Linked DNA regions of Struthio camelus. The protein of the gene in region 3 purifies or fractionates together with the protein of the main gene of each other region. This does not show direct contact. Links are inferred from orthologs where the notes say so. Each region holds a gene or a part of one and is shown on either strand. Other genes may lie near its edges.

Region 1 (7,631 bases), on a different chromosome or scaffold from region 3:
GACCCAGCTTTCACGGCTTCACTTCTCAGAGAAAAACAAAGACACAGGGATCAGCATCTCTTGAAAGGCTGTTTACAGAAGTAAGCCTAACTGCTTTTAAAAGAATTACTCAGAACCTAAGAGCACCAGGACACTGAAGTCTGAAAGCACCTCCTGCTGCTGACAGTTTTACACAACTGTTTGCTCTTCACTCTCTCTCCGCACCCGTTCTTTAACTAATAAGACATGACCAGGTCAGTGCAGTCACACTACAGGAGAGATACCGGCTACATCAGCAAACAGGATAAAACAACTGGAGCAGATCTGTGGAGCAGAGCACTTGGGACTATGGATCCAACATGCATAATACACGTTTCAGGTTTCTGTAGTTAGTAGAAGCAGAAACAGACACTAAAAGGAGAGAAAAAAAAGCAGCACCTTTGGGTATGCCCAAAGGCAAGACAAGATGGGTACGCCAACACAAGGCAAGATTCCGCCACCAGGTCCCTGCCACAGGTTTGCCCGCAGCCCATACCTGCATAGGGAATTACATTTCATAACTCCACTGCCAAAGTTATTCCCCACATATGAAAGCCTTTCAGTTTCCGAGACCTGAAAAACACAGGAAAAATTACCTTAACGGGCGGCCATCTGTCTGCGACTAACCTCTATATCCATTTTATTTTCCCAAGTACCACAAAGCTCTGCATTCCCAGGCATCAGATGCTAGTCATGTGTAGATAAAGTGCATTTTGTCTTCTTTGGGAGCATTTTGCATCAGGTCAAAGTCTTTAAAAGAAAGACACTTCTGAAGCTGCAAGTACTTGTTCTTTCTTGGCCTACTTGTTCTATCAAGCAGCCAGAAGACAAAGAATCATTAAAAGGAAATCATGAGACTCATACTTTAAATTAATAGTTCATGGCGGTAACAAACCCACACGTCACAACAATTAAAATACTTGGCTGGGTTGACAACCATGCTTCAATCCAGAAGCAATGGCCAAAAGTTTCCGTGTAACTGTGAATGAGCCATTTAAAGATTTAATGTTGCCAGGTGACCGTAACTGACTGATAAAGAGCAAGCACTATGAGGTAGCACCTAAATACATTTTAAACGCCTGTGCCTCTACTGTATGAAATCCTTCTCCTGAGGATTTGGGCTGAAAACCACCACATATTCCTTGAGTGAGCCATGCATGTAAACAGCTGTAAAACGTCACAAGAGCAGTCAAAAGCACCTTCTGACCTGGAACTCTGCTTTCTCTTCAATGAAAGAAAGAAAAAATTCCTTAAAATGTAATCTAATCAAAAAAAGACTTTGGCAAAGAATTTGGATTCATTGTGTAAACACAACGAAACCAGGAAACAATGTGCAGACTTTGTACTTGCATGGACCTGGTTATCTTTTAAGTAGCAGCTTTTAATTTTCACGCATTACTTCTTTTATTAGCTGGGTTACTAGAGTAAATCAAGCACATGCAACATCAGTATATCAGCATGAGCTTCAGAATACACCACTGTGTATCAATCAAAACTATTTAATTAAGCAGGTATTCAGTTTTGACTGAAAGGTTACTAACTCTCATTTGTCACTATCAGTATAATATACTATACTGTGTGTTTCAGGTTCCTTTCCATTCCAAAAGTCACAGCCCAATAATGCTATGTTTGAAAGAGCACGAGGCTTGTTTCATTCACTTGTCTCATCCTGAAATGCTCAAAAGAGGACAGTTAATGCTTTGAGACCTTGGCAGCATACCAATATTTGGTACTACCTCCCTGCAGTACTGTTGACATCTTGTGGCTTGTTAGAGAAACTATAAACTGCGTTTGCTGGGAACTTCACTCACCAGAACTTCACAGTAAGAAAACAAGTATCTATCCCCTTCTCACCCTCAAGCAGAGCTATCTTGCACATTAAACTTTGCTCTACCCTACCTCCACCACCATCACTCCTCTCTCTACTACAATGGGAGCCAATATCAGAACTAGAACTGCCCAGAAATCCCTAAAATATATCAGGACATAGAGATTTTTTGGAAAAATTGGAAGGAAGGGCTCAAAATCTGATCACTTTTAAAAGAGTCTACAAAATAAAGTCCTTACTGATTTTCAGAGGCTCATTCACTGTATTTGTATTTGCAAAAGCAAATAGGAAACCAAGAAATGCTTTGAAGAGAGGGAGAGAGGTGCCTTAAATATTAGACAACACTTTTTATCTTACCAGGGTTTCTAGTTCTTATTTGTGGAAGCTGTCAGCACCAGAGCCTTGAGGAAAATGGTGTAAAAAATATACCCAAACCTCAAAATATGCAGAGATGGGATTACTTATGCTTCCTAGGCCAGGTGTCAGGTGGAATCTCACCCTGATCCCTAACAGCTGAACAGGAGCTTGGATGCAGAAGGAGGCAGTTTGGGGACTCTTCTGATACACAACTCATTGCTGCTAACATGTAAGTTATTATATAGAAGCTAAAATGTATTAAGTGGGTAATTTTTAGAACTATAGTTGTTACAACAGTAAGTTTAAAAACGTACATATACAGAAACACGTATGTTTCCAAATTTTCCCGGCGACTCCTCTGGGCAAAACCGCCAAAGCTTACAAAGGCCAGGCGCTAGTTAAAAAAGGGTGACCCGGGATGCGGCCGCAGCACTTACCAGGATCCTCCGGTGCCTCTTCCGGGGGTTGGCGCTGTCTCTATCCCGGTACACGGTGAAGCGCATGTCGTCGGCCTCCCGCAGCCTCCCGTTGGAGAACTGGACTGCGGGGCGGACCGGGGGACTGGCGTGAGGCACGGGGCCACCAACAGCCGCCCGCCTAGGGCCGCTCCCCACCCTGCCGCGGAAGAAGCCTCGCGCCGGGCCGGGCCGGGCCCCCTTTCCCCCCCCACCCCCACTTGCTCCAGGCCCACCTCACCTAGCAGCGCGGGCTGCTCAGCCTCGGGATCCCCACGGTATCGCCAGGTGGCGGCGGCCATGGCGCGGCGGCGGCAGCGGCAGCGTGCTGCGGCGGGGGCGGGGCGGGGGGGCTCCGCCTCCGGCCAGGGCGGGCGGGACCGCGCGGGAGGAACCGCCCGCCCGGCCGAGCGGGCCGCCCCCTGCGAGCCGTTCCCCCGCTCAGCATCACCCCCTTAGCCCCGCCGCGGGCCAACCCACTGCTCGGGGCCTACGGCCGGGCCGGGCCGGCGGCTGCACACGCCGGCTGGGCCGGGAAGGGGCGCGGGCCGCTCCCGCCGAGGGCTCGGCGGAAGCAGAAGCGGCCCAATCAGGGGCCAGTTTATTTGCAAGTCTCGGGGGACCTGATTATTTGTCAGTAACGAGGTCGCTGATTGGCTAGAAGGAGGCTGTCGGCCCTGTGGTTGGCTGGCCGGCTCGTCTCCTTGTGGGTGCGAGCGTGCTCCTCTGCATGCCCCGCCCTTTCCCTGCTGAGTGGGCTGCAGCCCTATGGCGTCACTTCCGGCTGGCGGCGCGGCCGCTAGAGAGTAGGGGCTTGTGGGGGGAGGAGGCAGGGTAAGCAGGGCCGCGGACAACGAGCGTTCCCGGCCCCTCCCGCTCTCCGCCGACCCCCCTCCCCCCCCGCTCCGGCCCTTCCCGCCCGGCGACGAAGAGCGACGGGTGGGGAGGGGAACACAGGTGAGCGCGAGGGGGCCGGCCGGCCGGCCGGGGGCAGCGGGCGCGCGTGGCGGGGCGGCGGCGGCGGGTGACGTGTGCGCTACATTAGCGCGGGGGGCGGTGTCCACTGCGCATGCCCGGCCCTGGGCGCCGGCGGAGGGGAGGGGAGGGGAGGGGGCTGCGCCGCGCCGGGCGCCCGGCCCCTCCCGGGGGGGCGCAGCCGCTCCCGCTTTGTCCCCTCTCGCTCCGTTGCGACGGGGCCTAGCGGCTCGGGGGCGCCGGGAAGATGCTGGCGTCTCGGAGGTTTGTCTTCAGGGCTTGGTTTGTGCGTGGGGGGCGAAGAGGGAGAAGCCATCGCGCTTCTCTGTGTCCGTGGTCGTGTTCCAAAGGCTGCCGCTGCTTCACAGCCCCCGCGCGGCTCTCAGAGCGTGGCGAGGTGGCCCTGAACGCACCGGGGGAAAAAATAGCAACGGGGTGCCGTGCAGCGAGGCGTCGCGGTGCCTGCAGCGAGGTGTGAGTGAGAGGCTGGCCGGGCAGAGCTCCGCCCGCGCGGCCGGGGCAGCTGGAGTGGCGAGCGCCGCCTATAAACTCTTTGTCAGGTACTCGGGAGCGTGACCTGTTTGTGTTGAGAAGTAACTGAAGGGGGTCACGTAGTTCTTATGGGTCAGTGGAGGCTCTGTTTGCAGTTCTGGTACTGTTCACGGGTTTCCTTTTGTTGGAGTCAAAGTTTTTGTAGGCTTATGCAAGCATGTCACTTTCAAGATACTAGTCATCTTGCAAGCGCAAAGTCAAAGAGCGCAGAATTCAGGCACACCATTTACCAGTTAACAGAATCTAGTGAAATGAAGCTGACATCTCGCCTCTGCTTCAGGATTCTTGAAATTATTTGATTCTGAGCAGGACATCCTATACAAAAACACGTTCCTATGCATGAGGTACTGTTTTTTTTTTGTTTTGTTTTGTGCATGGGGATAGTTGTATAAGATATAATCTTAATAGATGGATGTATTTTTAGCTATTAATATTGCAAGGATGAAGTGCAGAAGCAACCTTGAGTCTTAAGAGAGAGACTCAAAACTTAGATGCTCCAGGTGATGCCCTAACTTGATCCTTCAGTGCAATGCCTCTCAGAACACTCAGGAAAGACTGCAGAAGCATTTAGTAGTTCTTCTCTGCAGGTACTTTAGTATTTTGGAGTTTTAAAAGAAAAATGTCTTTACTTGACAGGTTAGAAAGCAGGATTTTTTTTCTGGTGCTTGGTATATTTGTCAGATTATTCATAACAGGTCCATGTTGTGGAGGGTAGCACGCAAATGGAGAGATGTTACATGTACTGCTGGCGTACAGATGTTTTGTACCAACTAATTGTTTCTTATTACTGCATGTATTATCTCTGTGGGTTGGTGTGGTTACATGACAAGTTTTCTCACGTTCACATGAACGAAGACACTTTCTGCTAGGGTCAAGCTGGTAACCATGCTGCTGCTGTTGCACTTTGCTTTATAACATATCGGTTTACAGCAAAGGGAGAGGTAGGCTGATCTCTGTGAAAACAGGCAAGAAATGTACCGTCTTTGCTCGGACAAAAAACTACTTGGTTTCTTCCCTTCCTTTAAAGGTTATTCGGAAAGAATTTAGTTTATTTGTCATACATCTGAATAACTTGAATAGTTACGTTCTTGTGTGACTTTCAAACAGTGATAAAGAACTTTTTTTAAACTTTTCCTTAGTACACAGTAAAATATACAGAATTGTATAATAGGTGTGTGTAGAGATTGTGTAACATAGGAATTTTCTCTTCTGAGCAGTATAAAATGATATTGTTAAGTTTTCAGAATGAGCTTGGGGAGATCAGAAGCAAATACTCTTGAGAGTTCCTATTTGGAATGGAATATTGATCTGTTGAAGCATTTATGTGGATAATTATTTGCTGAAGTTAAACATATGCATAAAACTAATGCAGCCTTTGTGGAGGTGGCTTTACTAGTGTTTGTTACTCTGACCTAAACCATTTTCTAGCAAAAACAGATCTCTTCAATAAAGAGTTGAATTAACCCTAGTTTCATCCAAGTGGTTATTTAAAAGGTTAGGAAAGACACCTTCGGAATCGCCAAGGAAGGTGACTGGACAGGAATTGTGTAAAATCCTGAAACTTCCAGTACAGTGACTTTGAAAACCGAGATTTAGAATTTAATTCCCTATTGAGCAAGCAGGCATTAGAGCTGTGTGCGGCTGGTCTTTCCTTTTGGACTCCTGCGTGCAGCCCTTTGGCTCTGTCTAGTATTTGTGGTTGGATTCATGAACGGGGAATGACTCTTAGACAGGAAAAGCTGGCAACTGAATTTTCTTTTCAATGTTGGGCGTTCTTCCGCAGGACAAATGACCAGTACCAGGGTCACAATATCGTGAACCAGAAGTAAGGCTTTCTAAAATGGTGACAGGGTAACCATAAGTTCAGGTTGATTCTCGCTGGTAGGTGTTTATAGTTCTGTGCTATTAACTGGCTTTGCCAGTTCTGTGTGGCAGTCTTCCCTGCTTTTCCCTTTGTAAATACATCAAATAGCGATAGCATTTAAGTAGACGGCTACTCTGTCTCACACAGTAATACACAGAAACAACCTCCTAGGTGTCTTAAGCTGGAATGGCATATCAAAATGCAGGAGTATGATGCTTCTCAGTGTGTATCTTTGCTTTCAAGTACGGTGCTCTGCTGCAGGATTTAGAGTCTGAGAGATGCATGATAGGGCTGAGATTAGGTGAGCCACAATACAAGGAACACAGGTGGATGGGCATGCATCTTGCCCTCACAGGTGGAGTCAGTTGCTTCAGATAACCGAGAAAAGAAAATCTAAGAAAATCTAATTTCTTTTAGGAAACTTTGTATTGTTCCTTTTAAAGATGCTCTTTGCAGCTGACAGGCTGTGCTGTTACTGTTTACTAATGATTGTACAAGTTACAAACTGGTCTTGCTGTAGGTCGTAGCATGCATTTACAGTACCTTTCAGATGATGAGAAAATACTAGGTCATGTGGTAATCTCTTACTCCTCTCTGGAGGGCTGGTGCAACCATCAGCAGCTTTTGCAAAGCGGTTTATCCCTGCTGATTCTTAGACAAGTTGTAATGCATGAGCTGTGAGTAGCTGAACTATACATAAAGCCTGGCTAAATGGACACCTCAAATATAGTACTGTAAAATCAGCTGTCAGTCAGTGAAGTCACTAGTTACTGATACTTTTCTGTATCTTGTCAGGCACAAAATAAAATGCCTTTTTTGTCTGGCACTCACAAAATTGTAGCCAGCATCTACGAGCAATGTAGTGCTAGAGTCTACTGTCATGCCTTAAGCTTTTAGTTGTATAGGGCAAACCCTATACAACTAATTGTACTACCTAATTTTAACTACCAGTAACTGAAGTTCCACTTTAGATTCAGTCTGAAAAAATCCTTACAGCAGAGAACACGTATAACTGCAGGCTTTGAAGGGATACAGCTTGCTGAAAATGTCAGGGGAAGCTGAGACTTCAACTTTTTTTCCGCACCCTCTTTCCTTTAAACTTTCAAGTTTTTTTTCAGAGGGAACTTGTGTTTGCTTTCTGTTTGAACTAGTATCTTGAATGTGAGTCAGAACTACAGTCTTTAATCTGAACTGTGTCCTTTAATGCTGGATACAGTAACAACATTAAATAGATCTTTACTCAAAGTTGTTATTTTCACAGACTTTACAGTGTGTTATGCTAAGTGCTTTTTTTTTTTTTAATAAGTGAAAGAAAAGTTTTTGATTCTGCAGTGGTTTCGTGCGAATGTGCTTGTTAAGTATCTACGTTTGTCCCATCTTGCTGCAGCTTAAACTTTAGAGCTGAAAGATTTGATGGGAAGAGCGGACTGTACATCTACCTAGTATTATCAATACCATTCATTCAAGAAGCAGTAATAATTTTCTTGTTTTCTTTGTGTTAAAGGTATTAGAAATACTATTTCATTAATACCAGTGCCAATAAAACCTGAATCCCTTAGTCCCTTAGGGATCTCCATAATAT
Region 2 (7,967 bases), on a different chromosome or scaffold from region 3:
CCCCAAACCAGTTCTCCCAACAGAGGAGGCTCAAAAGTGTAAGAACTCAAAAGGCAGGGGTACGCTTTTTACTACATAAGCATGTAAGAGTCTAACTATACAATGGAATTACACGTTCTGCCACAAGAACTGCAGTTTTGCTTGCACTCATTGGTCATACGTTCCATTATATCCTTCCAGGTGGCTGCAATGAGACTCCACTATGTATTACATTTTCTTGATATACCCGGATTTTGGTCTTTGCTGAATTTTATTCTCCTGCTCTGAACTACGGTGATTAAACACCAGCAGCCCAAGTGACAGAACAGAGATTTCCCTTTGTAGTTCTTCCTCTCACCAGAAAAAAACCCCTCTCCTGCCACTTGCATCGGCACTAAGATTCTGAACGTTTTGGGCAGCATTTACTGCTCATGTAGCCACTTGTTTCCTGCTCTGGAACAGGTGACATGCTGTCCCACCCAGGTTAAAGGAAGAAGGTATGAGCCCATAGGTAAAACAAGGACAACCATTTAATCTTCATTTCTGAAAAGACTGGAGGTTAAACACGTTTCATTTTTCTTTCTGGTCAAGCTATTCTCCTGGAGCTTGGCCTAAGTACTATCAAGTCTAGGATGACAAATCTGAGACTTAAGATCCGCATGAAGTTAGTGCGCAGTTCAAGTCTGCCATTCAGATGGGTAATAAACGCTATGTAAACCAAATCTCTGGCACTTGGAAGGGGCAAACCAGACCAAGTTGCTCAGGCTGACATTTCTGAGTCATTGTGTGAGCCAGCTACATGCTCATCCAACAAGAAGATGTCAGCTCCTCCCCCACACCTGTACAGCACATAATATCTGTCCTGCAGCTTTTAGCCCTGTTAAGATTTAATATACAGCTCTGGACTCAAAAGTTGGCTATAATCATTCTAAAGAATACCGGGTTCATGTTCAGCAAATGCTCAATAAGAGATGGAAGAGATGTATCTGTTTTTCCAAGGGTCATTTGAGAATCCCCCAGAGAGGATAGGAACTGGTTTCTCAAGTAGGATCTTAAAGAGTTAAGACACTCCGAAATCAGTGTTTCAAGATTTAGATAAAGAGTTGAGAAAATAAGATAGAAATCTAATTATTAGCAGTACAGTCTGAAATCCAACAACAATGTCTTTTGACTTAAGTCAGCTATTATTACTTTACCAGAAGTATTACTTTTAAAAAAGCCAACTATAAAACCTGACTCTTCTTAAAAGGAGGGGAAGCCCAGAACGGGCTGGACCAAAAGCCTGGGACAAACATCTATGGATTGACAGGAGAGGCGTCAAGTACAGGAAAGAAAAAGGACTAGGACAAGACTGAGCGTGAGGGTACAAAAGAAAAGAAGGAATAAATCAAAGGGTTTCAAGGGGAAAAAAATGATAATACCACCCTCTACAGCTACTATCACTCACTACCTTGTCTAGTGCTTTAAGTAGGGAAGTGGTGTTTTATCTTGTAAGTGTTTGAATGAGGTATCTCTATATTAAGGTATGTAGTTAAAAGTTATGCAGCATCATTGAAAACAGGTTAGCATGATCTGTATACTGGCTTATTTCCTTAAGTTAGCTATGGTATTTTGAGAAAGAAAAAGAAAAAAGTGAAATGGAGAATATAATCAAAATGAAGCAAAACAATGAGATCGCTATGTACTACTAGTTAGAAATCGTACCTCTGAGCAGCATCTTCATTCTTCAGAGCAGCTGAATGCTTATTTCCTAGAAATCAAATAGATAAATCAGTATACCTTCTTCCTTTAAAATGCATTTTAAGCCGTGAACAAACGGAACTGTCATGTTTCCATGCTCAGCCACCGTGCAAATAGTTCGATCCAGGAAAACATTACAAACTCCAAACTGTAACCATAATCAAGGCAGTTGCTTAGGCGCTTGGTTTTTGGTGGCTGCGCCTAGCTACCGTAAGCTGGTAATCCACTCAGCAACTAGTTAGACGCAATCTTTGTACGCGAGCGGACAGACAGGCCTAACGCTGTTCTCTCGTGTGACAGGCTCTGCATAACGAGCAAGCGAGAGGAAAACGGCTTCTGTCTGAGCTGAGAAACGCAGCTCTCCCCCTGCGGCCACACCGCTGGGAAGCGATACCCTTTTTTCACCCTCCCCTCACTCTGGCCGCGGGCAGGGGCTGCCTTCGGCCACGCAGGCCCCCCGCCCGGCCCCCCGCCCGGCGACAGGCCGCGGCCTCCGGCACGGCACCGCCGACGCAGCGGGGCTCTGCCTGCGCCAACCCCGCTCTCCTGCGCCCGCCCAGGCAGCCCCTCCGTGCCAACACACCTGACGTCTCCCGCACTTAAGAGGAGACGCGGCGTCCCCCCGCCGGAGCCCCGTCCTCCCTGCCACCGCCCATCTCCTTCGTGCATACGCCACTTTTTTTTTTTTTAAAAACATGAAGCCATTTTCAGTACTTTCTGGGCAGTCAATACTGTCCAGGCAAACACGGAGCAGCAGGGCGGAAACAAAACAGACTGATAAGCTTCACACGTGTATTTTCAGGGGCTTTGATCAGCTGTGAAATGCGGCGCGTTTGACGCCCGGCGCCGGCGCCGCCCACCGCGGCAGAAGCGGGGCCCGCAGCCCCAGGAGGAGGCGGCGGCGGCGGCGGCGCCGCACCGCTGCCCGCCCCTCCCCAGCCCCACCGAGCTCACGGCAACCTCTAGAGCCCCCTCCAGCCCCGCGGGCACCGCCGGAAGGGCGGGAGCCGCGCCGGGAGGTGTTCCAACCGTTGTCGCCGCACAGGCAACAGCAGAGACCCCGGGAACCCGCAGGCCTCCTCTCCTCCTGTGCCGCGAGTTGGGTCATTCCGCCGGAGCGGCCTCAGGGCACAGGGAGAGCCCACGGCGCCGCACGGGGGGGGGAGAGGGGCGGCACGCGGAGCCTACCTGCGCGCCGCCGGCTCGCTTTCCCCTTCGCGACGCCCTGCGGCTTCGCGGCCGCCATCATCGCTGCCGCCGCGCTCCCTCCCTCTGACCTCTGACCGGGAGGCGGAGCCGGGCCGCGGCCGCGAGCGGGGAGAGGCGGCGGCGGCGGCCGGGCGGGCCGGGCCGGGCCGGGCCGGAGCGGCGGGAGGCGGTGGCGGTGGCGGCGCGGAGGGGCCGCAGCCCGGCGGCCGCGGCTGAGGTGAGCGGGCGGCGGCGTGGTGCGCGTTTCGTTCAGCCTGGCGGGCGCGGGCGGCAGCCGCCTCGCGTTGGCCTGCGTGCCGTCGCCCAGCGAGGGAAGGGGCTGAAAACAACTGGATGTTACCAGTGAGGGGGCAGTTCGCTTGAGAATTGGTAGCGGACAGTTCTTCGTGATTCAGGTGTCGTTGGCTACTGAAACCACTGAAAAGACTTAATTCGGAAGTGGATTAAGTGTTAAGACCTGAACTGGCTCTGGGCTCAGCTGGCAAATCCCTGGCAGCTCAGGGCATGCCTCAAGGCTGTCAATGCATTATAAAGTTACTGAGGGCTGAAAATGCAGGGCTATTAACGTTCAAAAGTATCTTTACATTGTTTGGGGGGAATTAGTAAGATCCTGTAAAATTAAGAGCTGAAGTAGTGCAGTGAATGCTAACAAAGTGTATGATAATCACAAAATTAAAATGACAGGCCCGATGCATTGCTACATTGGAGTGAAGTAGAAATGTTAAAATAGGCAATTTAGAACAGAAAGTAAGTTATTTATTCTTTCAGTAATAAAATTCACATACGGGTGCTTTATAGGTTATAGTGAGTTGACTGATTTTTGTAAATATCTGAATAGCTTAGATGCGTAGGTATTGCGTTAGCTAAGGTCAAACTTAAGGGGAAAGATGGAGAACCGTACATGGAGATGGCCGTATAGATACGGAGCTTGGATATTTTCGTGAGAGTTAGCTGTTCACTCAAGGGCAGAGGCAAGTGACTTGTGCATACAGTCACAGTGGTTATGTAACCATATTTATGCACGTGGAATTAACGTAAAGCATAAAGAAAGAATGTGACTACCGCTATGATATATCACGTGAGAAAACTGAACTTGACTTTATTTGTAAGTCATGGCCCTGACCAGGTAGAACTTGATATGCACTTAATTTTACTCAAATGTTTAACTTAACTGCTTTCAGCAACAGCAGTTGTAGTGTCTAGAGGTAAAAGGCCACTGAACCAGCAGTAGAAAGAAGTAAATGATACTGCACATGTAATCTTTATGAGACTAAAACGGTGTTGATATAAACTGGCACGGTGGTTGGATCAGCTATGCACATCCCAGGCATCATCTAATTAGAGCCTTCTAGTCAGATCTAAGCAGAGAGCTCATCTGATTAGCATATTCAGAGCAAATGTAGCGTAGCGGGGACATCCGCACCTGGTACGCAGCAAGTCCAGACTTGCTCTGCAGTAGTTGCAGTTCTCAATGTAGGTGTTCATGTAGTAGCCAAAGCCTGCTGACAAATTTTTAAGATACCTCTGATAACATTTGAAAAATTACTCCCCTGTACGCAATGTAGGCTGCTTCCTGTCTAAAATAGTATCTCCTGCAAGTACAGGAGGTAGAATAATATAGCATACACTCCTTAAAGATGCTTTTCTCCTATCTTTCTATAATTCAGTCTTCGTAATATGTTTGTCTTGAGTCTTCTCATTTCTCTATTCAGCGTTCTTTTGACAATGTGATTATTTTTCAACCTCTGTTTTTACTTTGGGTGGTTTAGTATTGCACTCTTTTTAATTTATTACAGAAATTTTAAATGCCAGAAGAACAAAGTCAAACTATAATGGCAGTTGATGAACTTCAAGCCATAATACAGAGATGCGTAAGTACTTTTCATAACAGTTGTAGGCGAAAGCAGAGTAAGTTTGTCTTTATACACTGTAATTAAAAGCAAAATGACCCTAAAAGCAGGACGGTTGTTAGCAGAACTCCTCATTGGGCAGCTAGGTTTAGCCTTCATGCTTCATTGCCTTCTCTTTGGTGCTTATCCCAAGATGCTTGGTAACTTCTGCCTCTTGGAGGAAGATATGTTCTTGTTTCACTCAGCAGTAGCTGTGTGAAGGAACAAAACGCTAGCAGATTGTTGCAGAAAATGCATCTCCCAAGTAACATGCTGTTGTCTAGACTTGGAAAATACTATTGAAATACTGCTTTCTCTTCTGTAGTGGCTCTCAGTAATTATTTTTAGTATATAAAAGATGATATGCAAGAAAAGACATTCCATTTGACTTTGCAATGAAAGCTTGGGTTTGCTTATTTTTTGTCTTTTATAAAATACAGAGTCAAACATGCGTATTTTCTTTCTAGCAAATTCTGGAAGAAGCTGATTTCAGGGGAGAAGATTTTAATCTGTTTCAGGTAGCAGGCCAGAAGTGTTTAGAAGATGGATATGCAGCTCAGTTATTAGAAGTAGTTCAAAATGAGAAAAATAAGGTAAGTTTAGATTTATGTTACGTCTTAGCTGTGTGCTAAACACACCATTAATAGTTAAAGCTGCATATGAGGTGGGAAAGCTACTTTCACTATGGAGTAAGGGTGCACATATGAATAGTTAATCAGTTGGTCTGTGTGAAGTGCACATTCTAGTGTAATTTGAGTTACTATGACTTGTGTACTCAAGTCACAGTAATCTTAACAAAGCTATTAACAGCTGTTTTCCTGTGAGTTAAGCAGAAGGGAGAAGAGAGGCCAACCTCATAACGAACAGAAAGTGACAGTGGCCCTCTGTGGCAGGAGAGAGAATTTCAGATGGCTATAACAGCATTGGCCAAAACCGTAAGAGCAAACAGCTAAGCTGATGCTAATGGAAGAGAAATTGTGTGTATGCGCTTTGAGGGGCTGGGAGAACGTACTTACGTTGAATATAGATAAAGAGGAAGTCTGAAAGGAAGGGAGGGATGGAATGTTTTGGCAATATTGCTCGAGTCTGATTATGATCTCTGTGATCATCTTCAGTAGCAACTGAAGGTCTTCAAAGAATGGGTTTTCCCGTGGACAAAATATTGTCCAACAATAATTTCTTTAAATTTTCTTTCCTTGATTTGTCTATTCAAAAACCAGCAAAAAATCTCCTATTTGAAACGTTTTATCATATAAATATCTGGAAACGTATAACGACATGTTAGGATTAATACACTGAAGAAAACTATACGGAATATGCAGCTGTGTTGCCAGATATGGGGAAAGAATACAAAGTATGTCAAGCACAGAAGCCTGTTATAATAGATACTAAGCTTTCAATGGTATTATCTGCTGTTGGTTAGAACCAAGGCATTGATCTGTTCTCATTTTTGATCATTGTATGTACAGTCTTCTATATTTAGAAGATGTCCAGTTTTGATTTATTCTCTGAAAATCTGGCTTGCAGGTTATCATCAAGAATATGGGTTGGAATCTCATTTGTCCTCTAGTTAGATGTATTTTAGTGTATAAACAGGAAGATGATAAGAGGGAACACTGCCTGAAGATACTGGATCAGTTGGTACAGGTATGCTTTTGAAATACATAGTTTTTAATACAGTAACACTTTTTTTTTTTTTTAAGCTGATTTCCAAAGAAAACAAGGCATGAGTAACTCTGGGTTCTTTTGCTTGTTCCCCATAACTTTTTGACTCATAGGCCTGAATTTCATCTGAATTAGGCACCGGGATAGTGTTCTCAGAAATAAACCTCTTAAAAATTTCATGAAATTAGTAACCAGGCAAAACAAAGAGCTATAGCACTACTGTGAAGGAAAAGGCAGCTCATCTATTAGAAGGTTTTTTTTTGGCGTCCTGCTGCTACAGTCGGCACCGCGATAGCCCCAGCCTTGGAAATACTACTTCTTGTCTAATGCAGAAATAGGAGGTATGGCAGTGATTATCTGATGGTTCTGGTGTAGAAGGGAAATAAGCCTTAATCTGTAGGAAACCAGTTTCCTTTCACTCAGCTACTTAGAAAACAGCTTGCCAATTCTATTGCTTGAATTACATTCACATTGAAGGTTCTTTTTTTTATTTTTTAATCTATACTGCTAAGGAACGGTTCTTTGCTAAGGTACTGTAAGGTGTTTAGAGACTATAGGAATTGAGTTTAGTGCAATTATATTTGCTGTGTTTTCAGCTTGTATGACAGTGTATACACATATACGTTCTACAGAAAACATTAGCAAGTACTTACTGCTTCATATTTGCTTTTCTTAAGAATTATTTTGGATGCTTAGATTTGCTTTATTTGATGTACAAGAGATTCTCTGTCACAGTGCTCGTGGTGGGGTTTTTAGCTCATGACCGTGATGATTAAAAAATATGCATCGTTCTTCTCTTGCAGCTATGTAATCCAAAGGAACTTTTTTTGGGTTTACTTGAGCAGATTGAGCAGACCTCTGGAGAGCAAGTATGCCAAACTGTCATGTTGTTACTTCAACCTTTGCAGACAGGTAACGTTCAGTTTATTGCGTGATTGTTGAGCTAAATACTTTTCTTGTTAATTTATTGAATTATTTTAGCCTTTACTCAAATAGTTTCAGAACACTTCTATCCTGACAGGCTTTACTGTAAAATACCACAAGGTATAATTTCCATGCTTGTGTTGGCTTGTTATAAAAAGGTATTAGAGAGAAGTGGTAGCATCAGTTGAAAATCAGTATTCAGCTATTTTTCATCATTTGTAAGTTGTTGGTGTTATGGCACCAACAATATTTACAGAATTAAAACTTATTCATATTCTTGTTACAGAAATCAAAAATTATACTGATTTGTGGAATTCTTTATTATTTAACTTTTAAAACATACAATTCCATATTTTTGTGTTTTTCTGGTATAAAACTGTTATTTCTAGTTTAAGTAGGTTGGAATATTTATTTGAGAAATTGCATTCTTCTGATTTACATGAAAAAAATAATAAAAATGGTTGCCTACTAGTAGGTAACAAGTAGTGGTTTCTCTCTTGATATGTGAGATCAAAACAATCGTCTTTTGTCAAGCTGAAGTCTAATTTTAGCAGTCTTTGA
Region 3 (7,970 bases):
CCCCCATCCCCGCCCCGCGCCCTGCCTGCCCCTCGCTGCCTCAGTTTCCCCGGCCGGGGGGGCCCTGCGGGGCCCTGCTCCCCCCGGCGCGCAGGTGCCCGCCAGGCGCCCGCCAGCCGCCCGGCCTCTCCCTGCCCGGTTGTTTGCTCCCCAACGGCGGCTTCGCGGCTCCTTTGTGCCGGCAGATAACACGGGCCGCCGAGGCCTCTGAAGCGCCGGCCCGAGCCGCGGGGAGGGCTCTGCCTGCCAGCGCCCAAGGAAGGCCAACCGGAGGGTCTCAGGGGGCCCCCCGCCCGGGCACGGGTGGGCGTGGGTGGCGGGGGGGGCAGTTTTCCCGGCCCCCCGCGCCGTGCCGCCCAACTTTCCCGCGCCAGAGCATCCTTCGCGTCAGAGCTGCCCCGGCCCCCCGCCGCCGAGCCCCCGAGGCTTGGCGGCGCCCCCAGACGGGTCCCCCCCATTGCTGTCCCCCTTCTTGGCGAGGGCTGCTGGAGACAGCTTGCTGAATTAGTTACGTTCAACCCCAAAACGCTCCTCTCCCCCCCCGCCCCCCCGCCGCAACCGGATGGAGGGCCTGGCTGCGTTTCAAAGGCGCGCTTGTGTTGTATAATTTATCGGCTGCAGATAACAGGCGAGCAGCTAACGAGCGGAGGGGGCTCCGGGCCCCCCGGGCTCCCGAGGGAGCCTGGCACCGCGGGCACCGGGCTGCCAGCCACCACGCCGGCCCGCGACGGGCCGGGCCACCGGCAGCCGGAGGGGGGTTACCCCCCGCCGATGGGTCCCCTCCGGTGCCGGGGTGTTTGGGGGTGCCCCAAGGTGGGGGGAGAGCCGGTGCCCATCTGTGCCCTGCTTTGGGGGCACCGGCGGGGTGCTTCCCCCCCTCCCCGCCACACTCCCACCCCAGCCGCCCTCGCAGCGGGGTTTGCTTAATCCCAGACAAGGGGGAGACACCAGGCACCGGGCTGGCAAGCGGGTGCTCCCGCGCCGCGCTCCTGCCCCCCTGGCAAACCCCGCCGGCGCAGCGGCACCGTGTGCCGGGGGCAGCGAGGGCGGCCTGGGCCCGGAGGGGCGCCGGGGCCGGGGCGCCGGGGCCGAGCCGGGTCAGCGGGGCGCCCCGGGCAGAGCACGGAAACACCAGCCTGCGCCGTGTTTCCCACCACCTCGGCCTTACACTGACATCTGCCGGCACCAAGCCCGGGCCTGGCGCCGGAGCCCCCCCAGCGCGGCCGGAGCCCCCCCAGAGCGGCGCTGCCCGTGGCCCCGCAGCCCACGCGGCCCCCCGCGGCTCCCCGACGGCCACCTGCGGCACGGCGCGCGGGTGCCCACCGCGCTGGCACGGGGTCAGCGAGGCGGCCGGCACCCGCGGAGGGCCAGGAGCCCCGAGCCGGATGCCGGGGTGCCTGTGCCAACACCCCCCCCGGTCCCCCCCCCACCCCACCGGCGGCCTCAAGCAGGGGGGCAAGGGCAGGTTTGATTTACAGCTCTGGGCACCGGCCAAGCCAGGGAGGGCTTGGCAGGAGGCGGCTGCGGTCCCCGGGGGGGCGAGGGGCTGCGCCAGGTCCCCGCTGCCGCCCCGGCACCGCGGCATCTGGGGGGCACCCGGAAAGCTGGCGCCATCCTCCCCTCGCCAGCTGGCCTCCGCGGGCGGCTTGGCGCCTGGCTGGCCCCGCTGCCCCACCAGCGCACGAGCCGGGCCAGGCCCACCTTCGCCCCGCGCCGCAGCTCCCCTCGGATGTACCCTCGTCCCGCTAGGGCAGGGAAGCAGCCGGAGCTGGCAGCGGGGCCCAGGCGTCCGGGCTGCCGTCCCTCTGCCTCCGCTCCCCGGCATCCTGCCTGCCTCCAGCTGGCGGAGGTCGTGGGCAGCAGCGTCCCTCGGGCGCCTGCTTTGCCAGCTGGCAAACACAGCCCACGCCGCCTGTCCTGAGCCCTGCCGACCTGCACCGAATGTGCCAGGTCTCAGCGATGGGCGGACAGGGGCAGCTGGGTGCAATAAACCCGGGGTGAACCCTGTCCCCTCCTGTCACCTCGCAGTGGGCCCAACCCAAGAGCACCCAAAGGGGGGGGACACAGCCATGCCCCTGTCCTCGCCTAGCAGGCACCCCCGAGCACGGGGAGCATCCCAGCGCCACACCAGGCCCCCTCCCCAAAAAACACAGCCCTGGCACAGCCGTGAGTACCGTGCCAGCCTGCCTGGGCGGGCTGGGGCACAGCAACGTCGCTGCCAGCCCCCCGGACGGCACCCTTGCCATGCTGGGGGGCACGGCGGGGCAGACTGGGAGCGCGGGGCGGCAGGGGGGTGGCGGGGGGAGGAGACCCGGCCGCTGAGACGATGATTTGAAGGAACGGAGATTGGAGGTGACGTCGCAGTGCGTTAAGCCGAGCGGCTGTTCCCGCGCTCGGCAGCACCGCCGCGGGGCGACCCCGCCGTGAACCGCCCGGCTGCCCCCCCGATCGGCCGCCGGCCCCCGCGCGCCAGCGTACGCCGCTGCCGCGCCGTCCCCACCTGCGTGCCCGCAGTGCCGTCGCCGGGTCCGGCCCCCCGCTGCGCCGCAGACGGCCGGCTCCGGGCACGGGGCACGCGCCAGAGAGGCCAGACCCAGCCAGCCCGGCCGGGGTGCCAGAGGTGTCTCCGCTCCAGACATCACAGCACCCATGCGGAGACACCTCAGCTCCGGATAGCACCCGGGGCCGTGCCCTGGAGACATCCCCGCTCCAGGCAACATGGGCTATGTACCAACTCAGCTCCAGACACCGTGGGTCACGTGCCAGAAACGTCTCGGCTCCAAGCACCGTGCGCCGTGTGCTGGAGATGTCTCGGCTCCAAGCACCATGGTCAAGCCCTGGAGATGCCTTGGCTCCAAACACCGAGTGCCATGCTCCAGAGATGCCTTGGCTCCAAACACCACATGCCATGTGCTGGAGACATCTCGGCTCCAGACACTATGGGCCACGCTCTGGAGACGTCTCACCTCCAGACACCATGGCCAAGCACTGGAGATGTCTCGTCTCCGGACACCACGGGCCATGCTCTGGAGAGACCTCTCTCCAGCCGCCTTAGCCGTGCGCTGGAGATCCACAGTGCCCAGGCCGGCTGGTGACATGTGCTCCACACACGGCACCATGCCGCCTTCCCTTCCAGCGTCCCCACACCAGGGGGACGCCTGGCCCAGACACCAAGCCCCCATCTCCCGACCCGCGGAGGGGCACCGCTGTGCCGCACAGCACCGCTCGGTGCCACCTCCAGCCTGGCACCCGCTCCCCAAACTTCGGCAAAGCCCCAGCATGGGGCCACGGGGTGGCATGGGCTGGCACGAGTCTCGGCCGAGCCGGGGAAGAATAGGTTAAAGCCAGGCGGCACGTGGCATTTGGGGGCCGGGGGGGGGGGGGGGGACAGGGCCGACCCCGCGTGTGCGCCAGCGCGGCTGAACTTTCGACCCAGCGTTCGCGGCTCCCTGAGCAGACGCCAGGCGCTTGGGCACCCCGCGGCGCCCCGAGGCGCGAAATCCCGCGCGGCGCTGTCAGACTCCCGCTCTCCTCCTTCTCCTCCTCCTCCTGCCGTTCCGGTTCATCTGCAGGCCACCGGGTGACAGCCGTTGGCCCTGTCCTCACCCCCGGCCCCCACCCGACGTCTAGCGCCGCCGCGCCAGCTGGGACCGCGGCCCCGGTGCCACCGCCAGCCCCACGGCACCCATGCCTGGTGGCCCACGGGGGGCCGGAGCACGGCGGGTCACACACCCTGGTTAGATGGTGGCCCCTGGTGTGGCGGCAGCGCCTGCAGGGGGCAAGAGGCCACCCTGTCCTGCCTGCCTGCCTGGCACCACGGTGGCACCGCTTGCCGTGGCGGGGGGGGCAGCCTCGGCAGCGTCCCGAGCCTCCCGCCCGCTCCGTGCCCGGCCCCTCGCCGTGGCCAGCCGAGTCCGCCAAACTCATGACACCAGTGGCCGCCGCTGGCCCGGCGGCACGTGCGGGGCCCAGGGCAAACGCCTCCTCGCGACGCCGCCGCGGTGGGGAGGGGGATCGGGGCGGCGAGCCCGCTGCGGGGCCCCCCGGCCCCGGCGCCGCTCGCTCGGGGCGGCGGCGGCGTGCGCGGCCCCGGCCGCTGCCATCCGCGGCCTCGCAGCTCCCCCTGCCGGCATCCGGCTGGCTGCGCCAGCCCCCCCCCCCCCAAAGGGGTCTAGGCCCCCCCAAAAGGGGGTCGGCTCCCGTGCCTGCCCCCCACCCTGCCCGGCTCCTGCGCCAGTCTCGGGGTGGGCAGCAACGCGCCAGGGAGCTTGTCCCGGGGCCCCCCCGAGGCCGGCAGCCAGCACCCCCCCCCGGCAATGCACCCCCCCACCCACTGCAACGCACCTCCCCATTGCAATGCGCCCCCCCCTTGTAATGCAACCCCCATTGCAAGGTACCCCGCATGGCAAAGCACCCCCCATTGCAATCCACTCCCTGCTGCAATGCACCCCCAACCACTGCAGTGCGCTCCCCTCGTCACAGTGCCCCCACCTCGCTGCAATGCACCCCTCTCTTTGCACTGTCCTCCTTTGCCATGCACCCCCAATTGCAAGGCACCCCCTAACTGCAGTGCACCCCAGTTGTAATGCCACCGCAATTGCAACGCACTCCCAACCGCAATGCACCCTCAACTGCAATACTCCCAGTTGTAATGTACCCCAAATTGCAATGCACCCCCGAGTTGCAAGGTACCCCCCTAATTGCAATACCCCCTAATTGCAACGCACTCCCAACTGCAGTGCCCCCTTTCCGCCTGCCCCAGCCGGGGGCCCAGTCGGCGGAGGTGCCCAGCGTAACGCCGGGCCGTTGAGGGGCTGCGGGGCCCGCGGGGTGCTCGGCGCTGCACACGGCCGGGGAGCGCGGAGCGGCGGGGTGTGTGTGTGGGGGGGGGGTCCCTGAAGAGCCCGAGGGGGGCCCCCAGAGACCGCGGGAGGGGCGCTAGGACCGCGTGGACACCCGCGGCCGGCCGGGCCCGCCAGTGCGCAGGCGCCAGCGCCGCCCCGCCCCCTTCCCGAGGCTACTTCCGGCCTGCTGCCGCGCGCGGCGGAGGCGGCGGCGCCATGGCCGGGATCCTCTTTGAGGACATCTTCGACGTGAAGGACATCGACCCCGAGGGCAAGAAGTTCGACCGCGGTGAGCGGGGCTCCGCGCCCGGGCCGCCGCCGCCGGCCCTCCGGGGAACCTTCTCGAAGGCGCCCGGCATGGCCGCCGCCGCCGCCTCCCTGGCCGTGCGCCTGCCGCCGCCCCCCCGCTGTGCCTCGTCTCCCCCTCCCCAGCCTCGGACTGCTCCCCCTGCGGGTCCCCCTGCTCCCCCTTCGGGCCCCGTTGTCCCCTCGGCCCCCCCCGCCCACCTGTCCCGTTTCCCTCCTCCAGCCCAGGACTGCTCCCTCAGTGTGCTACATCTGCTTCCCCTTCCCCCTCCGCAGCCCGAGGCTGCTCTCCTCAGTGTGCCCCCATCTCACACAAACACCTAGCTTGCGACTGCCCCATCTCCTTTTCTGCCCTTCCCACCCAAGGCGCGTTGTCCGCCCTTCACCCCGGTGTGCCCTGGGCCCTCACCCCCAGCCTGGGACTGCCCCCTTCCTCCCCGACACCGTGGGCTGCTCTACCTCCTGGTGTGCTCCATCTACATGCACACAGCCTCATCTCCCATTCCTCTTCCTACACACACCTGTGTCTGCCCCAGGCTCTTGGACCAGCCCCAAGCCCTGTGCTCCCACAAATAGCTCATGCTTGGTTGGTGGGAGGATGGCGCAGTCTTGGGACCCTTCACCCACCCAGCCTGTGCGGTCTTTTGTGTCCTTGCTCCTGACTCTGCTGCTCTCCACAGTGTCCCGCCTGCACTGTGAGAGCGAGTCCTTCAAGATGGACCTCATCCTGGACGTGAACATCCAGATCTACCCTGTGGACCTCGGTGAGCTCTCGGGCTGCTAGCACAGAATGCGCCGGGAGTGAGCTGGTGTCGGCCCGGGGTGGGGGAAGGCACGCACTGGTGCACAGAGGAGCAAGGTTGATCTCAGGCTTTCCTAGACCCCTCTGCTGTCCCCAGATCAGAGAAGGTGAGTGGTGCTGGGCACTTTTGCTCTGCTGGCGTGACCTGGATTCTGTCTCACCTCACTATGATATTCATTTGGGTTCTGTTGTGCCCTGTTCCCCATATACGCTCTGCGGTGAAATTGCATCGGTTGCTAGGGACTAAGCCTTAAAGAGAACTTCTGAGATGAGTTCCTGTGGTTGAAGACAGAGTCTTGCCATAGTGAGGAAGGCTGGAGTTAGTGCTATAGGGTCTCAGGTACTTGTCCAGAGCTCAGCCTCACCCTCTGGGACACTGTATGGAGATCTGTTGTTACGTCCAGTGAAAATGTCATCTGTGGTACCCTTGTGGCTCTGGTCTCCTCCGTGGTGGTGATGCACGACTGGGGAACTGGAGGAGACAAAGGGCCTGGTATGATCTTTCCTCGCTCCCCACAATCCTCTTGGAGGCCTGAACACAGGGGTGGGGCTTGTGCCAAACCCTCTGGAGCAGTCCTTTGCCTTTACCTACTCAGATCTGCTATAGATGTCCCAAAAGCCAGGCTGAAAGGTCACAAGGAACCTGGAACCAGTCTCAGATGGAGAGAGGGGGGAAATGGGGGAGGGATCATGCTGAGCTCTTCTCACTGCCTGGGAGGGTGCTGCTTGGCATCTCTCACTCTGGGCCTCGTGGAGGGCAGGCCCTTGTGCTGTTGCACGTTGAGATGTGTGTTCCTGGTGTCGAGAGCGGTGCCCTTGGGTGAACAATGGAGGATCTCATGAGAAGTGCTCTGTGCCCAGCTCCCATACTCCAGCTCGTGCCTGCTGTATGGAGCTGGGACTGGCTTGCTCACCTGTATGTGGCCTGCATCATGTGGTACTTGCAATGAGTAGCTTGTGGCACTGCCAGCTTTGCCCCATGAGCCTGATGCTGATCTGGCTGCGCCCACCCACGTTCTCACGGCTCCTGTGCCCTCTTATCCCAGGAGACAAATTCCGCCTGGTCATTGCCAGCACCTTGTACGAAGACGGCACCCTGGATGACGGGGAGTATAACCCCACAGACGATAGACCTTCCAGGTACCAGGGATCCAGTTGGCGTGGGTGGGTGGCACAAGCTGTGCCTGCTGGGATCCACAGAGCAGCCAGGTGGTGGCGAGGAAAGAGCTTAAATGCCGAGAGGCTGTGTGGTACCTTCTCCCAAAGGGTGCTTGGATGGGGGATGCCAGGAAAAGGGAAGTATGCAGCTTTGATTCTTCTCTGAGCTCCCGTTGTCCCATTGCAGGGCAGACCAGTTTGAGTACGTGATGTACGGCAAGGTGTACAGGATCGAAGGGGATGAAACGTCCACAGAGGCAGCCACACGCCTGTGAGTGTCTGTCCCCAGAGGGGGAGCAGTGCCCCAGGGTAGTAGGGGAGGCACAGGGATGTCAGACAGGATCTCCTGTGGGTTTCCCCCGTCTCACTAATCCTCTCCTCCTGCCCCAGCTCTGCCTACGTGTCCTATGGGGGGCTGCTCATGCGGCTGCAGGGAGATGCAAACAATCTGCATGGGTTTGAAGTGGACTCCAGGGTTTACCTGCTGATGAAGAAGCTGGCCTTCTAGAGGAGGATACATCTATCTTGCCTCCATGGACTGTCCCAGAGACATTTTGCTGGCAAGTAAACAGGATGCCTGTGACCCTGCATCCATGCTCCCTGGCCTCTCTGGTGCTGGTGGAGGAGGGGGATGGTCCCCCCTTGTCTTTTCTGACTCTTGCCAGGATTTGCAACCCCCTTCTACGCGGAGAGAGGTGCCTGACAGCCAAGCAGGGGCCATGCCGGGTGCTCTGCAGTCCTGTCAGGTGGTAGTCTCTTCTGACCTCCTGTCTTTCTGTACTTCAAAATCAGGCTCAGCCCCAGCCCTAGTCAGGGGCAGCTGGACTGAGACAGCCACCTGTCTGCATTGGGGCTGGGAA
Region 4 (5,332 bases), on a different chromosome or scaffold from region 3:
CCTTCACCTTTGCTATGGCCTCTGTTCTATCACCCACCAGACAGACCCAGGCTGCTGTTTGATGACTATTACTTGTAAGAAAGATCCCTGCTTTTAACCTTTACCTAGACTTCTCCGTTAAGTATTTTAAGCAATGCTTTAAATATGTGTTGCATGGTAAGCACAACCCAGGCAGAGCATTCATTTCAGTGAGTGCGTTTATAGCAGAACCACGGTGATTTGGAGCAAGGAGGGCCTCATGGGCCCGTCCTGTCCCAACCCCCCTGCCCACCCCACCACCCACCCACAGAGAACGTCACGTCGGGGCCTCTGAAGGTCCTTTTCCGAGACGCGCGGCACTGGTGGCCCAGGGCCGAACGACAGCTTTTCGACCACCACCACACGACGACCACGCTGTTCCCATCCACGGGCAGCTTTATTGCAGGAGAGCGCGGCCGCCCCGCGCAGGCCTCGGCGCGGCCGGCCTGGTGTTCCCGCCGCGGGGCCGCGGGCGCCGGCCTGGGCCCGGGGCCCGGGGGGGGGCCCGGGGCCGGGGCCGGGGCCGGGGGGGGCCCGGCTCAGTCCCGCCAGCGGTGGCCGCACTGCGCGTTGCAGCACTTGTAGAAGGTGGTCATGGGCTCGTCGGCCGAGCGCGTCTGGATCTGCATGAAGTAGGCGCGGGGGTGCTCGCACTTGGGGCACGGCTCTGCGGGGCCAGGCGGGCGCCAGGTGAGTCCGAGCGGGCCCCTCGCCGCCGCCGCCGCCCTCCCAGCCCCGCGGCCCGGCCCTACCGGCGGTGGAGTCCACGTTCTCCCAGGCCGCCGCGCCGCCCAGCACGTCGTCCACCTCCTTCAGCTGCGGGTACTTCCTGCTCGTCACCTGCGGGCGCGGCCGGTCAGCGGGGCCCCGGCCTCCCGCCCCCCCGCCCCCCCCCGCCGCCCGGCCCGCCCCCCCGCGGCACCTTGCGCGTTACGTTGCGCACGTAGGGGCAGGTGGTGCAGGCGAAGCGGTGGCACCGCGGCCCCTCCTCGGCCACCAGGACGTTGCCGCAGGCCGGGCAGAAGAGCAGCATCGCCGCTTCCGTGGCGCCGCCCGCCCCTTCCGGCGCGGCGATGGCGGCGGCGGAGCCCGAGGAGGAGCTGGCGCACGCCGAGGTGCTGGAGCTCTTCCAGGCGGCGCTGGCGCGGCTGGTGCAGGACCCGCTGCTCTGCGACCTGCCGCCTCAGGTGGGGCCCGCGGCGGCCGGGGCGGGGCCCGGGCGGGGGGGGCGGCGCGGCCCACGGGGCGCGTCGCTCCCGTGTCGCGGCGGTGCCGCCCGCAGGTGACGCCGGAGGAGATCGGCTCGCAGGTGGCGCTCGAGTACGGGCAGGCCATGACCGTGCGCGTCTGCAAGGCGGACGGCGAAACCATGCGTGCGTACCGGGGGGGGGGCCGGGCCGGGGGGCCGGGGGGGGTTGGGGGGGGCCGGGCCGGGGGCGAGGCCGAGGGAGGTTGGGGGGCGGGGTGGGGGTTGGGGGGGTTGGGGGGGCCGGGGGAGGTTGGGGGGGCCGGGCCGGGGGGCCGGGGGAGGTTGGGGGGGGCTGGGCCGGGGCCGGGGCGGGGGGAGGTTGGGGGCCGGGGTGGGGGGGGTTGGGGGGGCCGGGGCGGGGCGGGGGGAGGTTGGGGGCCGGGGTGGGGGGGGTTGGGGGGGTTGGGGGGGCCGGGGGAGGTTGGGGGGGCCGGGGGAGCGGGGTGGGGGGGGCCGGGCCGGGGCCGGGGCGGGGGGAGCGGACAGGCCCCGCTGAGCCGCCCCCGGTCCCCCCCGGCCCCCGCAGCCGTGGTGGTGGTGCAGAACGCCTCGGTGCTGGAGCTGAAGAAGGCGCTGCGGCGGCACGTGCAGCTGCGGCAGGCGCGGCAGGGCGGCGCCCAGCACCTCAGCTGGTGAGCGGGGCGCGGGCCGGAGGACCCCCCCCCCCCAAAACCCCACCTCGGTGGCCTTTCCAAGGCGGGCAGTTCCTCCTGCCGCCCGCCCTGAGCGTTTTCCCTCCCCAGGAAGTACATATGGAGGACATACCACTTAACCTACGCTGGAGAAAAGCTGGCAGACGACAGGAAGAAGCTGAGAGAGTGAGCGGGCGTCTGCGGTTTGCTGGGGAGGGATGGGGACGAGCTGGAGTCAAGCTGTCCGGGTAGCCCGCAAAGCAGCTGCACAGGCAGGGATCAGTCTGGGCTGCTCTGCTCTGGCTCACTTAGGTTCTGCACCACCCCCCCCCCAAAATAAAAAAAAAAAATCACTGCGAGGCAGGGCTGGCATTTCAGGCGATGCAACCGCTCCGCCGCTGACCGACTGGCCGAGAGGCCGCCTGGGCTCGTTCCCCAGCCACAGCTTGTCCTGCGCTGAGAGCATCCCGTTCGCACCACATCTGGCCCCCCCCGTATCACCCTTTGGTGTCCATGCCAAAACTAAGGCAGAATAGGTCATGTTTGCTCAGTTCTCACCTTAGGTACCCTGCAGAGACAACACGAAAAAAGTATGGCTGAGAGGTAAGGCAAGTAGCAGGCGGAGAAGGCAAAGAAAGGCTGGTGTCACGCGCCTGATGCACATTAGTTCAGAGGACCACATCCATTCGTGTCTGGGGAACTGGTGTGTGTGTGTTAATGGAAGCGCACGGAGAGCAGCTACCAAAGGGAGGATGGGGACAGGTCACATCACATCACGTGGGGGAGGGCATCCAAGGTGGTCTGAAGGAGGCAATCAATCAGGTGGAGTGTTTGGAGTCGTGGAATCACAGCATGTGTTGATGTGGAGTGATCTAGTCCAACACCCCTTTTGGGGGTGGTGGTGAGGAGCAGGAGCTGTCTCAAGTAATATAAACAAATTTAGCAAGCAGGAAAAAGCCCTAGAAAGACAGCCGTAGGTAAGGAAAGCTGTCCCTGAAAGATCGATCTGTGGGTGATAGCTGTTACGCTTGGGCTGTGTTGCAGTTTAAAAGGTAGATGATCACATCTTGGAGTCCTGGCAGGATGTTCTACTCACGCAGGTGAGAATTCGACTTTGTCCTGCATTAAAGCACAGCACCTGAAAGTATGAGTCCATCTCCCCAGGGGAAAGAGGAGGCTAATAGGATGTCCGTCAAAGGTGGTGGTTCCTGGGGAATTAGCATGTAACAGCATCACTCTCTGTTCAGGTATGGCATTAGAAACCGCGATGAGGTCAGCTTCATAAAGAAACTTCGAAAGTAACTTGTCAGGTAAGTCCTGAAAAATCCATTAAGAGCTACCAGAGCATCCTCCTTTTCCCAGGGCTAGTGCTAATGCTTGTAGCAGCTGATATTGCTGCTCTCCACTGCTTAGCAGAGCATTCCTAAATGCCCATATCTGCATTAGGCACACAGCCTGGCTCTAGTCCATTTCCACATTTTGGTTTTGTAGCCTGTGCCATGGATGCTAACGCAGTGTCTTTATAGCATTGCTGCTGCTCCTGAAATGGTGTATCTTAGTGCTGACAATGGCTTATCTCTAACCTTGTCTTGCATTTGGATTCTGAATCTGCTCCCACAACATCCTGGGACTCATTAAATGCAGTGCTCCTTTGCCCTTACGACTGCTTCTAGGATGCTGCTTTCTTTTAGGCTTCATCATTTCTGGAGCTCACTGTCAGGAATGCGGCAGGCTGCTAACTAATCCCTAGGAGAAAGAAGGGCTCTCTGTGCCTACAGGTGATTGCCATCACCCAGCTCATTTGATCCTTCTTTGTGTCTCAGACTATCTCCAGACAGAGCAGAGCAACTTTCTCCCGCTCTGCTCCTAGCTCCTTCCTGTACCATGCAGAGCACCTGCAGTTAACAGAAACGTCCATTGGGTGTACATAAGTAAATGCAACAGCAAACATAGCATGTTCTCCACTGTTCCACAGAGGATGTATTTTGAGCCCTTTTCCTGCAAGCTAGAGAAAAGAGAGACGTCAGCTCATGTCCTGTGTTTACGTTCTCAGTTTCTCCATTTTCTAGTTTACAGAGACTTGAATTCAGCTGATTCATTGTCCTGCGAAGCCGGGCATGCTGCTAGAAAACTTTCGTTCATGGTATTTTTGTGCAACTGATGCATTTAAAAATGCTTCCAACACAGGAAACATTATACATGTATATTTATCTCCTTGTAACCCATGTGGACCTCATGATTCCAGTATGAGGCTGCCATTTTTTAAAAAAAAAGTTATGTACACATAAATGCATGGTGTGGCCAAGATTCTCAAGCTTAGTAAGTTTAAACTTGTGTCAGCTTCCCTATTCCCCCCATCTAAAAACACATCTAAAACTCTGAAAAGCAGTGGTATCATCAGCTTTTCCAAATGCCTGTTTGTTCATTTTGTTTTGTAACTCTTAACTGGCTGGGTTAGAAAATGTTATTTTGCCACCACAGTGGCTTTTTTTTTCCCCCCTCTTTCAATGCTGCCATCCTCACGGTATCCACCATAAGAAAACGTGTGCCCTGACAGAGGAGCTCTATCTATCTGCCTCGAGGTGCCTACGACCACTGGTGGGTCACCTGTGGCAGTAGCTGATCCCCATGGACAGCCTAGGCCAGGTATTGCATGCTGGACTCTTGTATTACCACAGTAACTATTGTCCCTGTCACACCTTTTCTTTGTTTAACAGATAAAAGCAGATAATCCAGCTGTACCAAGACCATTCTGTGGATTCAGCACCTTCCTAGAGGAAAAGGTTGTAGCATTTCAAATGGAAACAGACTCAGAGTCGAATGGAAACTCTCAGATGCCACAGCTTCTGCAGTTGCTGTTTGAAACATCTGCCTCGGAGCTGTATGCTGTGTCCCTTTTCAGGGATTAAAGAGACGATGTGGTTTTCTGAAGCCTTTATGGCCCTTATTTCATTTCCACCTGCAAACCCATGTCTGGCTATGGTTGGAGTGCTAGAAAAGGACTTACCTACCCTACAGGGGCAGGAAACAGCATAGAGGAGAAAGTAACAAATGTAGCCACAGACTACGCAGAACAATTAACAGTAGCTAAAACGCTACCTTTCCATTTAATCACCACCTTAGCAGTAGTAAACAACTCTAGTTAAAAATGTAGTATTGAAACTAGTGTAATAAAAATAATGGCAGCAGAAAAGGTTCAATACAATTGAACAAGGCACAAACATTCTGTTTTCAGAGTCTTCTGAGATAAGGCAAAACATGCCTGCCAAGTGCTAAGGAGACAGTTTAAATTAACCACGGGCAGGGTTAGAAGTGTCATTTGGATTAGAGGCTCTGTCCATACGGAACCAACACAGCAAATGCAAAGACAGTCCATCTCCAGTGCCTGCTCGAGAAACAAGTCTTTGCCTTTCAGTGGAGCTGTGCATCCAGG

What was found.
Region 1: the proteins of POLR2H (region 3) and POLR1E purify together in Homo sapiens (affinity purification with mass spectrometry; 3 studies listed by BioGRID and IntAct, with this or other methods). This does not show direct contact. The link is inferred for Struthio camelus from reciprocal best matches to the Homo sapiens genes POLR2H and POLR1E.
Region 2: the proteins of POLR2H (region 3) and RPAP2 purify together in Homo sapiens (affinity purification with mass spectrometry; 3 studies listed by BioGRID and IntAct, with this or other methods). This does not show direct contact. The link is inferred for Struthio camelus from reciprocal best matches to the Homo sapiens genes POLR2H and RPAP2.
Region 4: the proteins of POLR2H (region 3) and POLR3K purify together in Homo sapiens (affinity purification with mass spectrometry; 3 studies listed by BioGRID and IntAct, with this or other methods). This does not show direct contact. The link is inferred for Struthio camelus from reciprocal best matches to the Homo sapiens genes POLR2H and POLR3K.

Annotation. Positions count from the first base shown.
Region 1 is NC_090982.1:2,270,326-2,277,956, reverse strand, and holds the start of POLR1E (DNA-directed RNA polymerase I subunit RPA49), read right to left. Parts: upstream 3,020-7,631; 5' UTR 2,961-3,019; coding exon 2,900-2,960; intron 2,745-2,899; coding exon 2,641-2,744; intron 592-2,640; coding exon 515-591; intron 1-514. Other genes in the region: ZBTB5 (zinc finger and BTB domain-containing protein 5), read left to right, coding at 3,881-3,897. UniProt on the Homo sapiens protein: Component of RNA polymerase I (Pol I), a DNA-dependent RNA polymerase which synthesizes ribosomal RNA precursors using the four ribonucleoside triphosphates as substrates.
Region 2 is NC_090949.1:18,833,489-18,841,455, forward strand, and holds the start of RPAP2 (putative RNA polymerase II subunit B1 CTD phosphatase RPAP2), read right to left. Parts: upstream 3,009-7,967; 5' UTR 2,969-3,008; coding exon 2,908-2,968; intron 1,730-2,907; coding exon 1,684-1,729; intron 1-1,683. Other genes in the region: GLMN (glomulin), read left to right, coding at 4,734-4,799, 5,285-5,410, 6,345-6,464, 7,286-7,394.
Region 3 is NC_090950.1:22,750,642-22,758,611, reverse strand, and holds the start of POLR2H (DNA-directed RNA polymerases I, II, and III subunit RPABC3), read left to right. Parts: upstream 1-4,964; 5' UTR 4,965-5,060; coding exon 5,061-5,133; intron 5,134-5,830; coding exon 5,831-5,914; intron 5,915-6,998; coding exon 6,999-7,092; intron 7,093-7,297; coding exon 7,298-7,381; intron 7,382-7,500; coding exon 7,501-7,618; 3' UTR 7,619-7,970. UniProt on the Homo sapiens protein: DNA-dependent RNA polymerase catalyzes the transcription of DNA into RNA using the four ribonucleoside triphosphates as substrates.
Region 4 is NC_090956.1:19,331,360-19,336,691, reverse strand, and holds POLR3K (DNA-directed RNA polymerase III subunit RPC10), read right to left. Parts: upstream 1,073-5,332; 5' UTR 1,052-1,072; coding exon 941-1,051; intron 859-940; coding exon 771-858; intron 686-770; coding exon 558-685; 3' UTR 506-557; downstream 1-505. Other genes in the region: SNRNP25 (U11/U12 small nuclear ribonucleoprotein 25 kDa protein), read left to right, coding at 1,092-1,205, 1,301-1,391, 1,794-1,899, 2,011-2,085, 3,147-3,201; RHBDF1 (inactive rhomboid protein 1), read right to left, coding at 5,311-5,332. UniProt on the Homo sapiens protein: Core component of RNA polymerase III (Pol III) which synthesizes small non-coding RNAs using the four ribonucleoside triphosphates as substrates. Can mediate Pol I proofreading of the nascent RNA transcript.